2 linked regions of the Sus scrofa genome follow. The protein of the gene in region 1 interacts with the protein of each later gene in a biochemical or structural test. Links are inferred from orthologs where the notes say so. Each region holds a gene or a part of one and is shown on either strand. Other genes may lie near its edges. The genes, in order: DRD2 and NCS1.

Evidence for each region.
Region 2: the proteins of DRD2 (region 1) and NCS1 form a complex in vitro, tested with the Homo sapiens proteins (2 studies listed by BioGRID, with this or other methods). The link is inferred for Sus scrofa from reciprocal best matches to the Homo sapiens genes DRD2 and NCS1.

What each region holds. Positions count from the first base shown.
Region 1 is NC_010451.4:41,077,849-41,090,186, reverse strand, and holds the start of DRD2 (D(2) dopamine receptor), read left to right. Parts: upstream 1-6,798; 5' UTR 6,799-6,812; coding exon 6,813-7,097; intron 7,098-12,127; coding exon 12,128-12,237; intron 12,238-12,338. UniProt on the Homo sapiens protein: Dopamine receptor whose activity is mediated by G proteins which inhibit adenylyl cyclase. Positively regulates postnatal regression of retinal hyaloid vessels via suppression of VEGFR2/KDR activity, downstream of OPN5.
Region 2 is NC_010443.5:270,312,231-270,323,902, reverse strand, and holds part of NCS1 (neuronal calcium sensor 1), read right to left. Parts: intron 9,983-11,672; coding exon 9,844-9,982; intron 8,322-9,843; coding exon 8,243-8,321; intron 6,925-8,242; coding exon 6,836-6,924; intron 6,487-6,835; coding exon 6,409-6,486; intron 3,592-6,408; coding exon 3,493-3,591; 3' UTR 3,475-3,492; intron 1-3,474. UniProt on the Homo sapiens protein: Neuronal calcium sensor, regulator of G protein-coupled receptor phosphorylation in a calcium dependent manner. Directly regulates GRK1 (RHOK), but not GRK2 to GRK5. Can substitute for calmodulin. Stimulates PI4KB kinase activity.

The sequences.
Region 1 (12,338 bases):
GAGAAGTACAAGGAAGGACTCTAAGCAGTTCGGTTTTAAAATGTGCATTTTTAAAAGAAGCATAAGGAATATCGCTTTTCTCTTAGGTGCCTAAGATGCCTCCATCCCTGTGTGTCTCCCTCGAAAGGGAACCAGGATCCTGCCCCAAGACTGGACTATTGTTCCTTGACTACTTCTCTCTTTGTCTCTGCATCCCTTCCCTTCCCTGATCAGCAACTGCCTGAACTTGCCCCTCGGAGCTCAGGGGAAGTCGTGGCAACTGAATGAGGCCCATTTCCTAAAAATAAACGGGAGACACAGAAAGGCTTTAGTGCCCAAGAGTCCCAGAGGGTGGACAGTCAGGATCTGGTGAGAGCTCCCTTCCTGGCTTGCAGATGGCTGCCTCCTCACTGCGTGCTCGCGTGGCAGGGAGAGAGAAAGGTCAAGCCCCCTGGTGTCTTCTTAGAGGGTCAGTCACCCCATCCTTCCTGAGGACCCTACCCTCATGACCCTCTCATGACCCAAGGCCTCATCTCCAAGGACCATCGCGGCGAGGGTTAGGGCAGCTATGAGTTTGGTAGGGCACAGTTCAGTCTGTAGCAGCAGGCTCAGATCGTCCACCCCTCTCCCGGGAGATGGGACCAAGGAGCTAAGCCCCAAGAGCTAAGAAAAGGCAGTGACCATGCATGGACGTGGAGCTCACTAAGTGCTCATTGATTGGGGACTGTGATTTGGGACTTTTATGCACGAGGCAGAAACCACCTGGGAGGAAGATGGAGGTGGCATGTGGAGGTGGGTGAGCAAGTTGATCATATTTTCATAACCCCAAATCAAAAGGCTTGTTCTAACAAAAGACATTTTTTTAATAATGTGCTATGTTATTTATCTGAAGTCTTATGACTGTAAGAATAGCTCTTCTTGGGTTATACAGTTCATTAATCTCCTTTTTTAGAAAGAGCAAGAAATTTGGACCCTCCTGGCAAATTCAGGGTGCCAGCTGTTGTGTGGCACTTCCCACTGATACGAACCCTCAAGGAGGCTTTGAACTCACCTGGCCTCTTGGGACCTAGGACCCAGCCAGACTTACCTGGAGCTTTCACCTCCCCCAGCCGGCCCAGGCTCTGACACGGATGGAGAATCTTGCAGGGCGGGTATCTGAGGGGGTCCTCCAGGTGCCCCTGGAGTGAGAAAGACCAGAGCCTTTGTGCTTTGTTCTGACCGATGGCCCCTGGAGCCCTGGGCAGAAGGAAAAGAGGAAGGAGGGGGCTGGGGCAGGAGCAGGGGGACCCTGGGGACCCTGGGGACCAGCAGGTTTGCTCAGGCCTCCTGAGAAATGCCGGGAGGTTACTATATATTATACATTTTAAGGTGAACAGCCTCTCCAACATTTTAATGTCTCTGAAATCAGAATGCACCCCATCTTAAAGCTGTATCAGAGTTTGATGGCATTTTTTTTCTTTCCTGGTGGTAGGAAATGGTGCATCTTACATTTAATCCTGTCTTAGAGTCTACAAGATATAGCGAATGCTCTTAGTCTCTGCTATAGCAGGTGGGCTGGGAGGGCTGCCACCCCATCCTGAGTTGCTGCATCCTTCTGCACCTGTGGCTCAGGGCTACACGTTACCTCTTCTTTCCTTCATCCCTCCCCACTCCCCAGGGGGTCGATTGCTGCATCTTGGGACTCCTTCTCCCCTGGTTTAGACCCCTCCTTTCCAAGAACAAGCCACAGGAGGCAAAAGGGTGTCACAGGAGGAGTCCAGCAGGACCACAGACCCTGACAGGCTGTATTCGGACAGCTCCTGTCACCTCATTTCTCAGAGCCTTAGGCTTGTTGTCTGATGGCTTGGTTCTTTGAATTATTTTTCCTTTTTTTTTTTTTTAAAGATTTGGTTTTTCCATGAAGGTTTACCTGTGCCAGCTGCATAAGCATCATCTTACTTAATCCTCACGATAGTAATTGCTTTCCCTATTTTGCAGATGGGAAAACTGAGGCTCAGGAAAGCCAAATAATCAGGTCAAGACCCTGTAAGTAAGGAAGCACCGGTAAGGCTAGGGCTGGGGTTGCACCAGGTGTCCTGGTTTTCAGCCCCCTATGTTATACTAGTCTCCCCTGTGCCACCCCATCAGTGGGGGTGGATTTGCTGACACCAGGACCCCCCCTTGGCCTGATGCTCTCTGACAGCTAGCCAGGCAGCCCCGTGGGTGAGACACGTCAGCCCCAATTAGGAAGCTTGCTGAGGACCCAGGAGGGGCTGGGGCTCACTCTGGCCGCTGGTTAATAGGCTCTACAGGCATTTAGGCATGTTCCGTATTTTCCCACTTTTTTCTATAGTGTAATTATATTACATTTGTATCAGCAAAAAGCAACAAGAGCAATTGAGAATAAATGCTCCATTAGAAAATTAAATGCAATGAGGCCTTTGCAGCCTTGGGTGAGACTTGCTCTGCAGAGTAACCAGCACCACAGAGGATTATGTACTCACCCCAACCCCTCCCCGCGCCCCCCACCCCCTTGCAATTGCCATTGACATTGTACCTGTAATGTAAGTAATGTAAGTCTCCGCTGAAGTTCTCCCCTCTCCAGGAAGCCTTCCGTGACTGGGAGTGCTGGCAACTGTTTGCATCTGGGTCCACCCTCTCAGTGATGGTCCCACTGCTGAGGAGAGATGCCTCTCTCAAGGTCATGCCCTTTGCCTGGGGCATCTCAAAATCTGCGATGTTATGGGAGGAAATGAAGATTTTGTTCGTTTGTTTTTTTAGGGCTGCACCCACGGGCATATGGAAGTTCCCAGGCCAAGGGTCCAATCAGAGTTGCAATTGCCGGCCTACGCCACAGCCACAGCCACGCCAGATCTGAGATGCATCTGCGACCTATACCACAGCACATGGCAACACCAGATCCTTAACCCACTGAGTGGGATTGAACCTGAATCCTCATGAATAATAGGTTCGTTACTACTGAGCTATGGCAGGAACTCCAGGAATGAAGGTTTTGTTTGTTTGTTTTTTAAAGTGTAGTTGATGTACAATGTTTTGTCAATTTCTGCTGTATAGCGAAGTGACCCAGTCATACACACACACACACACACCACACACACACACACATTATTTTTCTCATACAATATTCCATCATGTTCTATCCCAAGAGACTGGATAGAGCTCCCTGTGCTGTACAGCAGGACCTCTTTGCTTATCCATTCTAAATGTAATCGTTTGCATCTACCAACCCCACACTCCCCATCCATCCCACTCCCTCCCCCTCCCCCTTGGCAACCACAAGTCTGAGGAACAAAGTTTTGACTGTGTTGCGTTAATTCAAGCAACTGTGCAAGGCTCGCAGGGGGTGTCACCTGAGGCCTCTGCTGTGACTGTGAAGCAGTTCAACCTCTCTGCTGCCCTGTCCTGCTTCCTTCACTGCCCTGCAAGTCCTAATCCCCAGAGCGCCCTCCAGTGGATCCCCCACATGCCGAATTCTCCTTGGTCTGCTTTCTGACCAACATGTAACACGCATGATATTCTTGGGCTGCATCCCTCATCTGTCACTTGTTCATCTGATGGGCTCTGTTAGCAGTTACATTTCAAGCGTGTGTGTGTGGTGTGTGTGTGTGGTGTGTGGTAGGGGGTTCTTCCCAGTTGGACTCACAGAGATTTTGATTCAGTTCTGCAAACAGCTACTAAACACTTACTATCTGCAAATCACAGCATTAGGAGCTGGAAGAGAAAAACAAGAGAGTTTAGCCCATAAAGAAAATAAGACATGGGCAAGACACAGTGTAAACCTTGAGATAACTACACCCCCATGAACAAAAGAGATGTACAGAGGGAGAATGTTCTGGAACAGAACCGGAAACAAATCCATGCAAGGAAGGAGGGAGATGGCCCAGCCAGGAGGACTTGGGATGGATTCTAGGGCAGAAGGGCTCTGAGCAAGTCTTGCTTTGAAAGACGTGTAGGGACTGGCCGGTAGGGGCAAGGGAAAAGAAGTTTTCTAGAAAACTTTTCTGATGTGTTGAGTGGCGATAAGAATCACAAGCCGTAAAGGTTATTGAAGATAAATGAGATAGCATATATATGTTAAACTTGGCAAACTATCAGATCCTTTCAAGTAGATGAAGTTACTATCGTAGGATCGGATCGTGCTGCAGAAACAGAGGTCTGGTTGGACATGGGGAGTGGGTGGGGTGAGGGAGACAGGAGCTGCGAGTCCTCATTAAATGCCTCGAGCCCTTTCCAGAGAGGAGCTAAAGATGTGGGAGGAGGGGCAGAGAGGGGCCATCAGGGTGGTGGGGGAAGGGAGTGTGCCTCCAGGTCTCCAGGCTCCTGGCAGTGCTTCTTGCCCAGCAAGCTCATTAGATGCTGATTGAGTAAATGAATGGCAGGAGCAGCCCCTGTTGCCTGATCAATACATTCATACAGGTCTCCTGCTGTGTGTTCCACTTGCAAAGAGGCACCAGTGGGCTTGGCAGAGTGAAGGGTCAATATTACCCGGTGCTTCACAACCTTGGAGCTGGTAGCCTTGTTGCATGGGTGACATTAGGCATTTTCTTTCTCTGAGGGGCTCCAGAGTGGTGGTGCTGGCTTGGACATCATCCATCTTCTGAGAGCTGGCAGAGCAGGTGCGTCAGAGGGATGAAGGTGTGGAGGTGGGCAGACCTTCTCCAGGGGCCCCCTCTGACCTGTTGTAGCTGGTGCGCCCTCCTCTCTGATCTGGACATGGTACCACCTTCAAACCAAATGGCATAAATTGCCATTTGGGTAACAAAGCACCCAGAAGTCGTGGGGCTTTGTGTGGAATGCTTGAAATACTGATCGTTTCGTTCCGCTGTGTGAAATAGGAACACTTTTGTTAGCAGGAGAGCCAACCATGTTATATGTGCATTATGTTTCAATCACAACCAAAACACAGGCTGTCAAGCTCATCAATGCCCGCTGCCTCTCAAGCCTGCCTCTGAGCCCCTCTGCTTTTTTTTCTTAGTGAGCAACATCGCCAAGCCTCTCAGAGCAGAACCCAGTGCAGAAATCTGGAGTCATCTCATCTCCTTTTCTCCCTGCTTGCCTCCAGCCCCACTCGCACCCTGCATCTACCCAATGGCCAGATTCCACGAAATTGACTTTCATGTTAGCTGCTGACTCCCAACCCTGCTCTCCACGCTTATTCCCATGCCTTCATTCAGACAACCCCCACCTCTTACCTGAATTGTATCCATGACTTCACACCCCTGTAACATCCCCTCTGCACTGCACAGCCAGCAACCTTTCCAAAACACCAACCCAATGGTGTTCTCATTCCTCTGTACCCAGCGGCTCCGAGCTTATAAGACCTGATCTGGCCCACGAATGGTCCTCCAGTTTAATTTTCCCCAGCTTCACCATCATGCCCTACATTTTTAGCCACATAGAATTATTTGCTGTTTGGGACTGTGCTGTGTGCTCTGCTGGAACATCTCTCCCAACACGGTTGCCTGGCTACCTCCTCCTTCTACTTGATCTCCAGTGATGCCTCCTTCAGGAAGTCTTTTCCCCCGAGATGAGCTGCCCATTCATCAGGGCTCTCAGTGCACAAATGCAGAACCTCATCAGCTCTTCTTGGGTTCCTACAGCCTCCCGGCTGGGGGCCTGCCACCCCACTTAGCACCACGCTTTCATTCTCTATATAGCGGTTGGACTCTTCTTGCTGAAAGGCAAATCTGCTCACGTGGCTCCTGCTTCCCTTAAGGTCAAGTCTAACCTCCATGACTGAGCCTGTTGCAGCCTCCAGTTCAAATCTTGCCAAGCCCTCCATGCTCCAGCTATCCCGAATCTCCTGCCAGCCCTCCGACGTGGCATCCACTCTCCAGCTCTGTCATGTCCACATCTGGCTTCCCTTGGCTGGACCCTTCCCCTGACTCCCCAGTCTTTACCTGACAAATTGCTATGCATCCTTTAGGTGTCTGTTGAACATCGCTTCCGCAGGAAAGCCTTCTTTGAATCCCTACACTTCGGGTGTGTGTCTCTCTCCCCATTTGATTTCCTAGAGCCTAAGACTCCTAGACTTAATTGCTTGGTTAATTGGCTATTGTTTCTTTTAGAATGTGAGCTGGAGAACTGCATCTATTTTGTTCCTGCCTACGTTTCTAGCATTATACAGAACAATGTTCGATAAATATTTACAGAATCAAGAATGAATGATGGCATATTTCTATTCTCACCACTAGAAGTGAAACTCCTGACTACTTTGTCTTAAGTGTGTAGGGCCTGGGATGTGCTTAAGAAGTTATCTGTTGAGTAAATGGATGAATGAATGATCAGCTCTTTTCAAGTTCATTTATTTAATTACACTTAAAAAAAATTTGTGCTTTCTCATTTGTTTTACCTGAAAGAACTTGTTAGCAGAAAAGTGTTGCTGGCTCCAACGTTTTAAGATTTATTTTTTTGTCTTTTTTTGTTTGCTTGTTTTGTTTTTTAGGGTCGCACATGTGGAGGTTCCCAGGCTAGGGGTCAAGTGGGAGCTGTAGCTGCCGGCCTGCACCACAGCCAGAGCAATGCCAGATCCAAGCCACATCTGTGACCTGCACCACAGCTCACGGCAACTGAGTGAGGCCAGGGATCGAACCCGCAACCTCATGGTTCCTAGTCAGATTCATTTCTTCTACGCCACCACAGGTACTCCAAGACAATTTTTGGGATGCAAAAGTTCAAGTCCTGAGGCTGGCAAATTCTCTTTTACCAGCAGGGGTGGGTCTTAGCCCCGGAGCCCTCTGTGCCAGGCAGCATGCTTTGCAAGGTCTCCTGCTCACTTCCTGTGTCCGTGTCTCCTGCCCAGAGCCTGGCCACCCCGTGGCCCCGCTGCCCCAATGGATCCACTGAACCTGTCCTGGTACGATGACGATCTGGAGAGCCGGAACTGGAGCCGGCCCTTCAACGGGTCCGAAGGGAAGGCCGACAGGCCCCACTACAACTACTATGCCATGCTGCTCACCCTGCTCATCTTCATCATCGTCTTCGGCAACGTGCTGGTGTGCATGGCCGTGTCCCGCGAGAAGGCGCTGCAGACCACCACCAACTACCTGATCGTCAGCCTCGCCGTGGCCGACCTCCTGGTGGCCACGCTCGTCATGCCCTGGGTGGTCTACCTGGAGGTAGGTCTGGGCCCCCACCTGCTCCACCGCCCTCCCCAGGAGGGTCTGGGCTCCTCAGTGATTCCTACCGAGAGTGCGCCTTCTCCGGCGGTCTCTTTGGAACCTTGGCCTCGGTCTTATAAAATGGGTAGATCCCAGCTACCGGGTACGGGGTGCCTCCTGAGGGCCGGGCCTGGTGTGTCCGTGACCCACAGCATCCTCCCACTGCGTCCTCGCAGCAGCTTATGATGGGGAGCCAGAGCGTCAGGGAGTTGGGTGACTTCTCCAGCCTCCCGCAGTGGCTGGAACTCAGGCCCCAGCATTGGTTCACGAGGTCATGTTGAAAAGGGGGGTCATAGATGAGGATCCCCAAGAAAGGGAGAGCCTTGGGCTCCCAGGCCTGACAACTTCACCCCTCTCCCCACTTCCAAACAGGGGCTGCCGCCCCAGGCTCTCCTCCCCGCCGTGTGTCCTAGCCTGCGTCTGGGACCTCTGGCCGCTGTTCACCACAGGCTGCTGTGAACCCTGCTGTGCCCCCCTCTCCTCAGGAGGGACCCCATGGTGACCCATTGCTTGGCTGAGAACAGAGCCCAGCTCTGTGCCCAGAATAGTGAGTAGGCAGCCCCCGAGGGGGGCCACAGGTGCGTCACAGACACACACTCAGCAAATACACTGAGTGATCCTGAGTCGATACCAATCTTCTCACTTTAAGGAAGAGAAAGCAGAAGCTTTGAGAACTTGCCCGTCTTCACCCCGATCACACGGCAAAGGGAGGAACCCTGAACTGGGGATTCATGTGCAGGAGGACAGTTTGCTGAGCTGGCAGGCAGAGGAGGGAGGGTCTGGGGGACTGGGGTGGGCACAGGCTGGATCCTGTCCTTTTTGCTGCCCGGGGTCCTGGGAGTCTGGGTGCAGAGGAGGCTGACCGGGCATTCCGAGAAGAGCCAACGCCAGGGTCACTGAGATCTCTGCGCCATTACCTCCCTGCCTTGAACAAGAGGGGGTGTACCTGTGCCATGGAGGGAAGCCCCTGCCTAGGAGGAAAGGGCTGCCACCTTTCAAAGAGAACACGGAACGTTCGTAGTTTGAGCGGAGAAGAAGCCTCTGGGAGAAGATGCAGAGATGGCAGGAGGGGGTGGTTTCCCTGCCTCCACGTCCCCAGAGACTCCTGGGCCACCTGTTGTCACTACCACGCTGGCCCACAGGGAGCTCTGGGCCATCACTCCCTTGGTTTCCTTTAGTCCAGCCAGGCTGGAACTTTCAAGATGACCAGAATTTTAAGAGAGAATCAACAAGAACCAAACAATAGATATAATACAACCTAAAAACATGCAGGTACCGCCAGCCAGGGGTCCAGTTCCTCCATGACCACACGTTTGTAGGGACCCCTAGGCTCTGTTCATCCTGTGTGCTGTTTGATGGCCGATCCCCAGGGAATTGATTCTTGGGCCCATTCCCCTCCTGCTCCCTCATAAAGGAGGTTCCCAGGCCTCAGCCCATCTGGCAGAAATGACAGCGGCCAAGCCAACAACCTCTCTCTGACACGGAGAGGATCACGATGCTTACGTCATAGTGTTGTTTGAGAATCACATGAGCTGAGATATGAAAAGCACTTAGCATGGCAGCAGGCACAGAGCAAGCACTGTGTGAAAGTAGCCATGACAACGAAGATGAAGATGGCAGGAGACAGCCTTGCCGCTGCACATCGAAGGCCCCGCCCTGTGCCCAGGCAAAGAGGGTGCCAGGGAGAGGCATGCTCTGCCCAGGGCTCTGGGCACAGGTTCTGGGACTTCCCAGACGCTCTAAGGGAGGGCAAAATCTGCACACGAGGACTCCGGGAACCTGGAGGTCCTTCACGCAGATGGGTTAAACATACCCATTCATATCATTTAAAGGTGAAGCTCAGAGTTTTAGGAGAGGGTGGAGAAGAGCATCTCGGCGGGCAGTGTTCAAACTCTCCCATCAAAACGAGAGCTGGACAGTGGGCCCCGCCCTCAACATGGTCTCCGCTACTTATTGTCCCTAGAGACTGTCCCAAGCGGAGTCCCACTCCATCCCAACCTCCTGTTAAAGCATCCTCTCAACTATACACTGTACCCTCTCTAAGAGACACCCTTGTTGTCCAGAATTTTCCATCCTGCTCCATTTCTAGTGATGTTAGATGCCTCTGATAGCCTGCCACGTTGGCACCCGGCTAGGTGGACCGGCTGTGCATCACTGATCCTGCTCAGCATGTGGAAAGCACATTGGTTTTGGAGTGAGAGGACTGGCTTCAATTCCTGACTCTACCATTTTCTATCTGGGGATGGTGAGAGAAGAGAGCCAGGGCCCACCTGTCTGCCTGGACCATTTCAGCCTCACAGCGCTCTGAGCGGAGGGTTTCCGGGGTCCACTTTCCAGAGGAGCAGATGTGATTGAGAAAGTGAGCCCACTAAGCTCGCAGTTATTTACTCAGTCAACGTGTAGGAGCACATCTGCATCCTGCCCAACCCTGGGGCTGGAGTCCAAGGCCCTGGAATTATCCAGGAGAGGGAGCAAGGCGCTTGTACTCCAGGCAGAGAAAAAGTGTGCAAAGCCCTGGAGTAGGGGACTCTTGGGGGGTGGGAGGTACCTGGCTTGAGGTTTTGGGGAGCGGTGTCCTCCGAGGTCTGCTGTCACATTCCATAGAAATGAGTGTGAAGGAGTTCCCGTCGTGGCACAGTGGTTAATGAATCCGACTAGGAACCATGAGGTTGTCAGTTCGATCCCTGGCCTTGATCAGTGGGTTAAGGATCTGGCATTGCCATGAGCTGTGGTGTAGGTTGCAGACTCGGCTTGGATGTGGCGTTGCTGTGGCTGTGGTGTAGGCCAGCGGCTACAGCTCCGATTAGACCCCTAGCCTGGGAACCTCCATATGCCGCAGGAGCGGCCCAAGAAATGGCAAAAAAAAAAAAGACAGAAATGAGTGTGAAGCGTTTAGAACCGTGTGTGTGAGACACACAGTAAATGCTTCGTGTGTGCTAGTTAATGTCAGGGTTTAGCCAAGCCAGCTGGAGGCCCGTCCTGCAGGTCTCAGTCTCAGGTGAGCGAGAATGCTGGTGAAGGGTGTCCAAAGGTGTGGAGGAAACAGCACTGTCGGGAGGAGGGGGGACCAGCAAACCTGGGGGCTGGTCCTCCCTCTGCTACTAAATCACCAGGTGATCTTGGGCAAGTCCTTTTTCCTCCCCGACCCCAAGTTCGTCTCTCCTGCAGTTACAGTTGCTCCTATCCCTCTGTGTGTTTCACATAAGCATCTCCTCTTTCGACAAGCTACACGGTCCCTTCCAAGGCAGCGCGGGAGACATCATAGGATGTCCAGCCCCAAGAACTTGCTGCAAACTCCAGCCCTGCTGCATGCCAGCTGGGTGCACCCTCTGAGCTTCATCCCCCCACCCCGCGAGGGGCATAAGCCACCCTCTCTTGCACGGAACAATAAGTGAGGTAAAGCACGTGCCACAGTCGATGCTCTATCACTGCTGGCCACCAGCGTACTTTCGTGTGCCTTTGATTCAACGGCCCCCAACTGCATTCCAGAGCAGTTTCTCCTGGGACCTCAGAGGAAGACCTCCTTCTTCTGAGCTCCATTCCAGAAGGCTTTGTGGGGGGTGGGATTGAGAGCTCTCTAAAGACTGTGTCAGGATTGTCACCACTGTGCCCAGAGTCTAGGACAGAGCCGGACACAGTACATTGCCCAATAAGTGTATGGAAGAAAGAAGGAAGGCAGGGAGGATGAAGAAGATTGCCCGGTAGCTCAGACCTAGATCCCCAGGGGCATGAAAACAGCTGGGACATTGTAGTCCCAGGAGGGCATCAAGGTGTGGCACAGAGCAGGTGGTGCCCTAAAGGTAGAGTCCGTTGATGCCAGGGAAGCCCCTTCTCCCCCCCCTCAACCTCTGTGCCCCCTGGACATCCAGCTCCTGCCTGCCCGCCTGGCCAGAGCTTGGAAACCCACGCTCTATGTGAGCTGCAGAGAAGACAGTGCCACATGAGAGGCTTCTCATCTTCTAGGAAAAGCTGCTATTTCCTCCGTGCGATGCCCATCTCTGCATTTAAACGCCAACAGTTGGTTTTATGCCTGAGAGCAGCAAAGAGGGAAGCACCGAGAATGAATGTTATAATTAGCCCCGCTGCCCCGCTGTGCCCTGCAGAGCGGGGACTGCTCTGCTCTGGTCACAGGATGGAGCTTTCCTGCTCCTCTTCTCTCCAATAGGTTGTAGCCCAAGTCGCATCTCCTCATCCTGACTCTGTCCTCAGAGATGGGGTCTGTTCCAAACCACAGCCGCAGGGCCAGCCTGCTGTGTGCGTGCGTGCATGCTTGTGTGTGTAAACGGGAGGGGTGGGTGTGTGCGTGGGGAGTATGAGTGTGTTTTGGGTGGGGGGGTGGGCGAGGGAGAGGTGAAAAACACTCCTGTCAGGAGCTGGACTCCTTCTTTACACTGCACGTATATACCATTACACACCTTCCCCAGCCCGTTCAGCTCTTCCTGAAGCTCTTCCAGGCCGTCCTTTCATTCTTCAGATGTAAGAAGAAGCAGAAATGTCTTCACTGTTTCAGAGTCACTGTCTTCACCGTAGTTCTTAACAAAGTCTTACCGGGCCCTGACTCTGTGCCACGCACCATGCTGGGCACTGAGGGGGTGCTTCTGCCCAAACCTGGGCCAGGGCAGGGCCAGAAGCCGAGCTGAAAGTCATGCACTTTCCTGTGGCTCAGTTTCCTCACTGGTAACATGAGAATCACAAGCTGTTCACACCAGGGTTTTACAGATGAATATTCCAAGCTGAGGCACTCGTGTAAGTGGTCATGTTTCTTCCAGCAAACTTCTTGGTACAAAGTGGCCTTCTGTGTCTAGAAGGGGAGGGGACTGGGGCAAGAGCCTCAGTCACTCCAGGCACAACCCCCAACTGCTGGCCCTCTTCTTCCCCAGCGGGCGTCCCATAAGACCCCCAGCGAGCCTGGGGGCCGATCTGCCTCAGGAGACCGAGAGACAGTGCCTAATCTCTGCTGTCCACCCATTATGTTGCTTTGTCCCCAGGTGGTGGGCGAGTGGAAATTCAGCAGGATTCACTGTGACATCTTTGTCACTCTGGACGTCATGATGTGTACAGCGAGCATCCTGAACCTGTGTGCCATCAGCATCGACAGGTGAGCCCAGGGCGGGAGAGGGGACCCAGACCATTTGCCTCTTAAGCTGCCCCACCACTCCTCAGGATCAGGCTCTGTCCATGATGCTCCAAGGCTGGCTG
Region 2 (11,672 bases), on another chromosome or scaffold:
TGTTAAAAATCTCTTGTAGTGCTGTGTCTCCAAAAGGAAAAACAAATGTTTCCTATAAGTTGTTCATTAAAAAAAAAAAAAAACCGGAGTTCCCATCGTGGCGCAGTGGTTAACGAATCCGACTAGGAACCATGAGGTTGCGGGTTCGGTCCCTGCCCTTGCTCAGTGGGTTAACGATCCGGCGTTGCCGTGAGCTGTGGTGTAGGTTGCAGACGCGGCTCGGATACTGCGTTGCTGTGGCTCTGGCGTAGGCCAGTGGCTACAGCTCCGATTAGACCCCTAGCCTGGGAACCTCCATATGCCGCGGGAGCGGCCCAAAGAAATAGCAAAAAGACAAAAAAAAAAAAAAAAAAAAAAAAAAAAACCAATAACATATGGTTATGAATTCACTGCTGCTGAAGAAACACAAACATAATCATAGGAAACTGTGAGACAAAAACAAATAGGGTGATTCAAAAATAATCACACCCTTTAAAGGGACGAATTACACCATATGAGTTTTCCTTGGGGGGAGACATCAAGAACCTATGTTTGAACCACTTTTCCATGGCCTGGAGGAAATAAAGCAGCTGTCATATGACAGTTGCCAATGAGGCTACTGCTGCTAATTCACAAAAGGGGGCTCTGAAAAATTAGACAATGGATCAGTATGCACCATGGGACCCAGAGCTGCAAACCGAGTGTTTCTAAGATTATAGAAATAACTGTCACAGTTCCCTTACAAATTGGTTTGATTATATGTTCCTATGTGACCTAGTTACTGAGTATTAAGTTTTTGTAAGTGTTCAATTCTTTCTGAATCACTCTGGACACAAAATGTTCACAGTGGTTATTTCTGGGTTATATAAGAAGGTTTTTTAAAAAATAAACTTCTTATTTGAGGTTTTCTTTTTAAACATGTCTTCTAATGTCTCTTCCATGAAAAAGGATGCCTTGTGTAAAATACGAGCAACACTAGACGCTTCAGGACAGCCTTCCTAAGCAAAATATCAGCAAATCAAATCTGATGATACCTAAGAACACATCATGGGTAGCTTCGCATGAAAAAGCAATCAGTGTAACTTACTAACAACAAAAAGTGGGGGGGTGGGGGAGCCATATAAACACCTTGATGAATGCAGAAAGTGTTTTTGATAAAATTCAAAATCATTCATGACTTTTAAAAACTGTAATTAGCAAACTAGAAAAGAAGGAAACTTCCTAAATCTGATAAAAATCTATCTACAAAAGACTTATAATGAACATCCTAACTAATGGTAAATTATTGAAAGCTTCCCCCCACAATCCAGAGTGAGACAAGAATGCTCACCTTCATTACTCCTATGCAACTGGAGAGCCCAACTAGGGCAAGGAAGCAGGAAAAAGGAACAAAAGGCAGAGGTATAGGAAAGGAAGAAATAAAACACAGAAAACCCAAAAGAATCAAAGGCAAACCCTTAGATTAAATAAATGATGTTAGCAAGACCATAGCCATATGATCAATTTAAAAAAAAAAGATTGAATTTAGATAAACCAGAAAACAAACAGAAAACATAACTGTAAAATTACTATTTAAAATACCATCAAAACCATCAAATACCTACAAATAAACCTACTAAAAGATGTGAAAGACCTTTTAGCCAAAAACGGCAAAATGTTATACAGAAAAAAATTTTAGAGACTGAAATAAACAGAGATATACCATGTTCATGGACTGGAAGAGTCAATGTTCTAAAGATGCCAAAATTCTCCCCCAAACTGAACTGTAGATTCAACTCAATCCCAATCAAATCCTCAGCTTGTGTGTGTGTGTGTGTGTGTGTGTGTGTGTGAGGACATTTATAAGTCGTTTCTAAAACATACATAGAAATGCAAATAGCCTAAAGTAACCAAGGCATTCTTGAAAAAGAAGTGATGAGATGCTGCGTCCCAAGATTAGGTTATAAAAAGACTGTGCTTTCATTCTGGGTTCTCTTTCTCTCCCTCCCTCCTAGGAAGCTCACCCTGGGGGAAGCTTGCTGGGCAGCCCTGTGCAGCAGGCCACATGGCAAGGCTGCCACAGCAAACGAGTGTGATTAGGAGGGGATCAGCACCAGCCAAGACTTCAGATGAGACTGCAGCCCTGGCCAACAGCTGATCATTACTGTCCCAGTTTACCTGAGACAGAGGGGTTTCCCAGGACATGGGACTTGCAGCGCTAAATCCAGGACAGTCCTGGACAAACTGGGGTGGTCGGTCACCCTCCTGACAGCTTGACAGCATCTTCATGGGAGACCTTAAGTCAAAGGCTCCCAGTAAAGCTGTACCCACATTCCCGATGTTTGTTCTTCTCAGCTGCTGCATTGCAGTACCACAGTACAGAGCAACAGATTTAACTAAGACAGCGCTTCCCAAAAGATGACGATAAAATGAGGGATGCACAGGCGCCAAGGGGCCCGACCTCAGCAATCATCAGAGAAATGCAAATTAAGGTGACCACAAGCTATTCCCACACGCCCACCCAGATGGCTGAAATTTTAAAAGACAGAGACCATCCAACATTGTTGGCAAGGCTGTGGAGCAATTGGCGGACTCACAGGACATGAGTGGGAGTCGGAGATGGTACCACCACGTTGGAAGACGGTCTGGTAGTATCTCTAAAGTTAAACATACACGTATTCTACATCCCAACAGTTCTCCTCTTAGATATAAATCAGCAGAAAGCATCATTCATCCACCACAAGACACCTACGACAGTGTTTCTAGCTGGACAGGACCCCAGGGGTTAGTTCTCTGCCAGCAGACAGACGCCTCTGTGGGCGTGTTATCATCCAGCAGATCCAAGTGGGTGAGACAAGAAACTCCGTTTGAGCTACTGAGCAAGAGAGCCAGGAGCTGAGGTCTTCAGCCACCCAGACAGAGGAGGGAGGAAGGAGAAAGCCCTCTTTGCCCAGGACCCTGGCCCTGGCCGAGAACTGTGATTTTCAATGGGTTTTCAAGTCAACTCTCAGGCTGAATCTGGGTCTATGAGGAGTTTCCTGCGGGCTCAGCAGGTTAAGGATCCAGCATGGTCACAGTTGTGGCGTGGGTTCGATCCCTGGCCTGGGAACTTCCACATGCTGTGCAGGCAGCCAAAAAAAAAAAAAAAAAAAAGATCAAAGAAGAGTATATTATTATTATTATTATTATTATTATTATTTTGGCTGCAGCCCAAGGCATGCAGAAATTCCTGGGCCAGGGGTCGAACCTGCACCAAGGCTGTAACCAAAGCCACAGCAGTGACAATGCCAGATCCTTAACCCACTGAGCCACAAGGGAACTCCGGAAGCTGGGTACCATTCAAATGACAAAAACAGAGGAGCCCTGGCTGATCTGAAGACCCTGCCTCCTGGTCTCTCCCTACTATGGAGGCTCCAACTGGGCAGACCCCCAAGCACCCCCAGGAAACCCTAGGTGTCCTGTGGCTGGGTTTGCCCCCAGCACCCCCCACCACGCCCCACACCCCCTTCCACTCACCCCACTCTGGGCCTTGGACTATACCAGCCCGTCATAGAGGGACAACGCCTGCACGATGGACGGGTCTGCCTTGGAGCCTTCCTGGAACTCCTGCAGCGTCAGCTTCCCGTCGGCGTTCTGCAAGCAGAGAGAGGAGGCTGGAGGTGAAGGGACAGGGGCCTGGGCCCTGGATGCTCCCTCCTCAAGCCCAGCCCAGGGCTGGTCCCAAGCGAGGGTGGTCAGGCGGGAGGCAACGCCCTTCACCAGGGGAGAGGAGTCAGGCGTGGACAGACCCGGGCCCATGCAGCCTGGGTGACCTTGGCCACACCACCCACCTCTCTGGGCCCTGCTTTCCTCGTCTGGGGATTGCACAAAGTGGCACGGCTTCTTCAGGGCACGGGGGCGAGCACTCCTTGAGCTCAAGCTGTGCACAGTGCTTGGCAGACCGGAATCGCCCCATCACTGCTGTTCATGCCCTGAAAGGGCGGTTAATCCCACAGGGCCGAGAGCCTGATGCACGTCTCTGGGGTCACCTTTGGAAGGGCATTTAAGCCGTTCCTGGAGCACGCAACCCTGGACCCCGGGAGACCGGCTAGCAGGCTGGACGGAAGCCATGTAGAGGGGCTTTAGTGGGTCTCCTGTGGGAGGAAAGGGTTTGGGCCAGCGTCCCGTCCCCTGAAGCATCTTGCAAGGAAACCCATGAGTGCAAAAGAAAAAGGCCTTAGAGACCACCGACCCCACGTCCAGCCCCCAGAGACGGAGAGAGTGACGAGGGTTCCAACAACAGTGTCGACGCCGAGTGCCCCGCTCGTCACCAAGGACGCCTGCTCTCCGGGGTCCTCAGAGCCATCAAGGAGAGGGACCGCTCCTATCACCCTTTTATAGGGGAGGCTCAGTCACCTACCCAGGGTTCCCTGGCTGCTAACCAGGGAAGCCAGCTTTGGGCCCGGTCTGACTCCAGCGTGGGCTTTGCTTCCTAAAATAAGGGAGGTCTGAATTGGGGGCGGGGGTAGATTTCACACTTTGGGTGTTAAAAACTTTGAACGACCCCGCCAGCTCCGCGGCAAAGTTCATGTTCTTTGCTGCACACTCTGTGGACACGCCTGTTGATTCTGACCAGGAGCTCAGCGCCGTCTGAGCCTGCGTGTCTCTGACATGGGCTGATCTCATTTTTTTTTTTTTCAAGTAAGAAAGTAAGGCTTCAGGCTCATAGCTTCCAGGGCAAGCACCTGTACCCAGCCAGCATGTCATAATAAACCCAAGGTCACTGTCATTTGTGTTCTTTTACTTAATTAAGGCAAGCAATACCAGGCTTCCTTACCATCAGAATATCAAATTCCCATTTCAAACAAAGTGATTCCAGGTTTTTAAAAAAGTTTGATAGAGGGAGTTCCCATCGTGGCTCAGTGGTTAACGAATCCGACTAGGAACGATGAGGTTGTGGGTTCGATCCCTGGCCTTGCCCAGTGGGTTGAGGATCTGGCGTTTAGAAAGAAGGCTTTCTTAGAGTTCTCGTCATGGCTCAGTGGTTAATGAACCCAACTAGTATCCATGAGGCCGAAGGTTCGATCCCTGGCCTTGCTCAGTGGATTAAGGACCCAGCGTTGCCATGAGCTGTGGTGTAGGTTGAAGATGCGGCTCAGAGCCCACGTTGCTCTTGCTGTGGTGTAGGCCGGCAGCTATAGCTCTGATTCGACCCCTCGTCTAGGAACCTCCATAAGCCGTGGGTGCAGCCCTAAAAAGACAAAAAAAAAAAAAAAAGAAGGCTTTCTTAACCTGGGGTCTTTGGATAGAATTCAGCAGGTCTGTGAACTAAAATAGGGAAAAAGGAGGTCTTTCTTTTCACTAACATCTAACTGAAATTTAGCGCTTCCTTCCATAATGAATCTAGGTGACAATCCCCCATGGAACCAGAAGTACCTGTGACTTTGTCAGCTGTGGAGATCACAGCATTTTTGTAACACATCACAGCTGCTGCAAAGCATCAAGAAGACAGATCAGCACTTTGAAATTCGGGCTGGTTAAACCCACCACTCAACCTTATCAGCCACCGTTGTGGCTCAGTGGTTAACGAATCTGACTAGGAACCATGAGGTTGTGGGTTCGATCCCTGGCCTCGCTCAGTGGGTTAAGGACCCAGCGTTGCCGTGAGCTGTGGTGCAGGTAGCAGATGTGGCTCGGATCCCTTGTTTCTGTGGCTGTGGTGTAGGCTGGCAGCTACAGCTCCGATTAGACCCCTAGCCTGGGAACCTCCATATGCCGCAGGTGCGGCCCTAAAAAGACAAAAAAAAGGGAGTTCCCGTCATCGTGGTGCAGCGGAAACGAATCCGACTAGGAACCATGAGGTTGCAGGTTCAATCCCTGGCCTCTCTCAGTGGGTTACGGATCTGGCGTTGCCATGAGCTGTGGTGTAGGTCGAAGACACAGTTCGGATCTGGCGTTGCTGTGGCTGTGGTGTAGGCCAGCGGCTACAGCTCTGATTAGACCCCAGCCTGGGAACCTCCACATGCCGCGGATGCGGCCCTAAAAAGACAAAAGAAAAAAAAAAAAGAAGAAGCAGCTCATATAAAACCACATCACAAATACTTTTTAAAAAATATTTTGAGGCATTCTCTTGTGGCACAGAAGGTTAAGGATCTGGTGGTGTCACTGCAGCAGCTCAGGTCACTGCTATGGTACCGGTTCAATCCCAGGCCCGGGAACTTTCACATGCCACAGGTGTGGCCAAAAAAAATGGGATAAGTCTCTTCCAAAATAGCTTTCTTTTTGACCCTACGAATGTTATCTGATGCACTTAAAAACATTCTGAGACAGCTTCTCCAGAATGTCAAAGGGGTCTGTGGCAAAAACTGAAAAGGTTAAGAAGCTGAGTTAAGGAAAAAGGGTTGGACGAACTGACTTAAAACCCTGCATGTCTGCGGGCTGGACCAGTGGCCATCACACCAGGGGTCTCACCTTGTCCATCATGGCAAAGATCCGGTCCACCCTTTTCTCGGGGGTGTTCTCCTCCTCTGGCAGCTCCACGGTGTTGCCCTGTCGGGGACAGGCGAGGTGGGGCCGGCTCCTGGCCCTCTGCCCTCTGGGCCCTTGGCCCCCAACCATGCCCCCCAGACCTGAACTGGTTCCAGGTGAAGACTGCGTCTCCCTCCCACTCCCTGCCGTGCCCCCATCCGCCCTCTGCTCTGGACCAGCCCCATCAGCAGCCCCCGCCCTCCCCCAAGAGGCACAGAGCAACCCCAGGCAGTGACCCTCACTTGCCAGCTCCCACCCCAGGCAGGAGGGCGGCCGCGTGGGGATGCCGCCTCTGGGCCAGGCCCCATCGCTGAGTTTGATGCCCTGCTGCTGCCCCCACCCCCACACCCCCAGGGCCCAGGCCTCTCACCACCATCTGGTAAATGGCATCCACAATGTCCAGCATCTCGTTCCTGGTGATGTAGCCGTCGTTATCCAAGTCGTAGAGCTTGAAGGCCCCTGCAGTCAAGCAGCCAGGGCGAGTGAGCCCTGATCCGGGGCTGGGCTGGCGGCCGCTCCCCCTCCCCTCGGCACCCCGCCAACAGCCCCGTTATTCATCCCGCCAAGACAGACAGGGGACACACACACACACCATGTCACCTAGTTACTGAAAAAGCGTAAATGTAAAAAGGAGGGGGCAGAGCTCTCTTGTGGTGCAGCGGGTTAAGGATCTGGCCTTGTCACTGCAGCAGCTTGGGTCACTGCTGTGGTGCAGGTTCGATCCCTGGCCTGGGAACTTTCATAGGCCGCAGGCACAGCCAAAACATAAACCGAGGGGGCTGGGTCTGTAAGAGCTGAGGCCTCGGAGGCTGATGCTGAGAGACAGAAGGGAGCCCAGGAGCAGCCCTAAAGCCACCCCTCTCCTTCCCCACCCCTGCCTCTGCCTCCTCTCGGCCCACCCCCTTTCCACAACTATGCTGGATCCAGCTAGGGTCAACTTGGAAAAGAAAATAATATGCCTAGGGAGGGGGGAGGAGCTTTGGCATAAATAAAATCCTCTTTTATTCCTAAAAAGAGAAAGAAAGAAATTGCAGTGCTTTCTCGGTGCCGATGCGATGCGGTGAAGTTGTCTCAGTGGGAAGTGAATCCCGGCCCAGCTGCTTTCATCTTCCTGCTAGATCCCCTCTCGCGCCAGCACGGGTGCAGCCTCTCCCCCAGTAGCCTTCTCTCGACCCTCCTCAGGCCTCGCACATGCTGATCCCCTGCCTGGAACCCTCTTCCCGCCCCCCGACCCCCTGCCAGCTTCACCCTTCCCAGCTCGGCTCCCAACTCATAACAGGGTCAGTTCCTCTCTGATCGGCTCACACCTCCCTCTTCCAGCCCCGGCTGCAGTTTTATGGGCTCTTTTGGATAAAGTCCCTGAGCTACAGGGACAGCCACGAGAGCAGGTGCCCCTCGATCTCATACACCTGTGGATTCCGGGCCTCCAGCCCAGCACAGACATGAGGCCACGTTAGGTCAATAACTGTTAGGTGAACCAGTAAATGGACACACGCCGTCAGTCATCCAAACAGCCTCCCGAGTGCTGGATCCAGCCCTGGAACCGGGTCTGAACCGCACGCTGCCCGGCGCCAGGTGCACCTTCGAGAATGCCCTGTGCTCCTGCCCCATCTGTCCACCCGCCTGGCCGCCTCCAGGAAACCACCTCCGACCTGGAAGGGCAGGACGTCTGTGCCACCCTCAGTCCTGGACAGACGGCCTGGCCCAGAGATTTGGCCTCCCTCCAGCCCAGGACGACCCAGCGGCCGCCCGACGGAGCCCAGCGGGCAGGACTTACACCGCAGCTTCTCGTCCAGGGTTCCCCTCGAGGTCACCGACAGCGCCTGGATGAACTCGGAGAACTCAATCCGCCCGTCCTGCGGCAGGGAGAGAGGGATGGGGGTAAATGCTGAGCTGCCCGGTCAGGACGCACCTTGGGCAGGTGGTGATGGGCAGAAGCAGGTAGCTAAGCAGACGCAGGGGTGAGGGATGGGGAAGGAGGGGGAGGGGAGGGCCAGAAATGGGACCGACCAGGCAGGAGGGACAGGGTAAGGCCAGAGGGAGAGCTTGACTCCACATCTGGCGGGAGGAAGAGGCACCCCCAGCGCCCGTGACCCTCTCTGGGCAGGAGCCGCCCAGAATCCCCTCTCTCAGACCCTTGGCCTTGAACCACAGGCACAGAGGCTTTAGAAGGTGGGGCTCTGGACTGTCCGATCCTATTTGTTTTGCCGATAAGGAAACTGAGGCTTGGAGAGGACAGAGTTCTTCCCAGGGCCAGGCAGGGTGGCCGTCAGCAGGGGCCACCTGCGGAGAAAGCCAGGGCGTGACCGAGTAGAAACAACCCACACGCCCAACAACACGGAGTGTAGAAACAAGTTACACTAAGTCCACCGTGAACACCAGGGAGCCAGGAAAAACGCCGGTGTGGGACCGAGGCCGGAGAACCACGGATGCCTCAGCGGTGGACCTGCCACCCGTCAGGGCGTCTGTCACCAGGAGGGGACAGACTCCAACCCAGACAAGCCTCGAAAACACGATGCTTGGGCATCAACGATGCCACATTATGGGATTCTCAGTTTCCTCATCTGCAAAATGGGGGCATTTAAAAGGCATCCTTTACAGGTAGTTGCTTGTTAAGGTCTCGCTACAAACAATCCACATAAAGGCCTTAGTACATAGAAAATGTTCAGTAAATACAAGTTATGATTATAAATCCTGTCATCATTCCTGAAGACACTTGCCTTTTGCGCTTTGTAAGAAAAGAGTCAAGGAGTTCCCATGGTGGCTCAGTGGTAACAAACCCAACTAGTATCCATGAGGATGTGGGTTCGATCCCCGGCCTTGCTCTGTGGGTTAAGGATCCGGCGTTGCCATGAGCTGTGGTGTAGGTTGCAGACGCGGCTCGGATCCCGCATTGCTGTGGCTCTAGTGTCGGCTGGCAGCTGTAGCTCCGATTCGACCCCTGGCCTGGGAATCTCCATATGGCGCAGGTGCAGCCCTAAAAGCAAAAAAAGAAAAAGAAAAAGGTCAAGGCGTACCTATGTGTGCATGGGTGTGTACACACATGTCTGTGCACAATAGGCATGTGCACACATGTATCTCTGTGGGTGCCTTGTACATGTGTGAGTTTATGCAATGTACACACATGCATGCATTTGTATGTTACATGAGTGCACGTGTGTTCGTGTTTGTGCACACGTACATTTGTATGCATCTTTGTATATGCAAGCGTGCATTTGTGTGTGTATGTGTGTGTGTGAGTGCACACGTGGTTGTTCCTTCTGCAGAGGGAACATCAGCAGGTGCGCGTGGGTGTGGAGACGCTGCGGGTACCCGGGAAGCAGGCTGCCTCAGGAAGGGGAGGCTCCGGCTGGTGCAGCCCGTCAATCTCCAGCTCACCTTGTTTTCATCAAAGACATTGAAAACAAACGTGGCGAACTTAGTGGGGTCTCCAAACGGGAAGAACTGCTTGTAGATCTTCTGGAAGCCCGCCGCGTCCAGCTGCCCACTGGGGCAGTCCTTGATGAAGCCTTTGTACCTGGAAATAGAGACCAGGTGAGAGAGTAAAAGAAACGCCAGCATCACGCCCACCTGCTGAGAGCTTGGGCCCCGGACCCAGGAGACTCTGAGTGCCTGTCCAGACAGACAGTGCCACCTGGGCTTGGGAGCCCAGACCTGGACACCACAGGCAGGGGGCTCATCCCACCTCTGCCTCTTGCTGGCTGTGTGACCTGGGACAGGTGGCTAGACCTCTCTGAGCCTCGTCTGTACCAGGAGGATAAGAGTCACTTGGCCACTCAGCCCCCCGTTCCACCCAGGGGACTAAAGCCAAACTCAAACGAACAGCCTCCCTGAAGCCTCGCTCTCTCTCGCACGAGGCACTCCCACCTCCCCCACCTTCTCCACTGAGCCCCTCCCGGCACTACAGAGCCAGGCAGGCTGGCAATGCTGGTGGTGCTGGTGGGCAGAGCCACCATATGGGGCTGGCAGCTGGCTCCTCCCACATGACTGCACCCCCCAGCGTGCACACACCCGCTCCCCTGCCTCTGTTCCCAGGGAACTGTGTAAACAGCAGCCCAGCAAGCTCGTGGCTTCCAGTGCGACCTGTCCACACGGCATTCCCAGTGCCCACCACAGGACACTCAGATACCCGGCCAGCTGAGGGCAACAGGGCTTCGAAGCCCAAAGCCAGGTTCTGCCACTTGCTTGCTGTGCATCCTCAGGCAAGTGCCTCCGCCTCTCTGAGCCTAACCCTCCTCCTCTATAAACAGGAAGAGCTATTGCACCCATCCTGTGGGGACTGGGTAAGATGATGACGTAGCATCCTTGGCACAGGGCTAGACATAAAAACAAATCAATGTTGGAGTTCCCGTCATGGTTCAGCACTTAATGAACCCAACTGGTATCCATGAGGACACGGGTTCAATCCCCAGCCTTGTTCAGGGGGTTAAGGATCCGGCGTTGCCGTGAGCTGTGGTGTAGGTCGCAGATGCGGCTGGGGTACAGCATTGCTGTAGGTCGGCGGCTACAGCTCCAATTCAGCCCTTAGCCTGGGAACCTCTATATGCCACAGGTGTGGCCCTAAAAAAGCCAAAATAATAATAATAATAACCAATATCATGATTTTTAGTGTATGTTTCTTTAAATCACTTCACAAGTTGGCTCCTGCATGTGGCTCGGCAATTCCAGTCGGGCCACACATTCCTTGGAGGAGGATTCCCAGCACAAAGGGAGGCTAGAGAGAAGGATTGATTGGCTGTTACCCGCTACCAGCTACGACCTCCGCTGGGCCTCTCCCTGCCAGAAACACTGCAAATCTCATTCTCCTGGAACGCCCATAACAGCCCCATGAGCCAAGTACTTACGATGAAGCCTATCTTATTTTACTTTATATTTTTTTTTGGGGGGTGCACCTATAGCATATGGAGGTTCCCGGGCTAGGGTTCGAATCAGAGCTGTAGCTGCCAGCCTACACCACAGCCACAGCAATGCCAGATCCAAGCCATGTCTGTGACCTACACCACAGCTCACAGCAACGCCGGATCCCTAACCCACTGAGCAAGGCCGGGGATCAAACCTGCGTCCTCATGGATACCAGTTGGGCTCATTACTTCTGAGCCACAGCAGGAACTCCATGAAGCCCATTTTAAAGATGAGGAAACTGGAGTTCCCGTCGTGGCTCAGCGGTAATGAACCCGACTAGATTCCATGAGGATGTGTGTTTGATC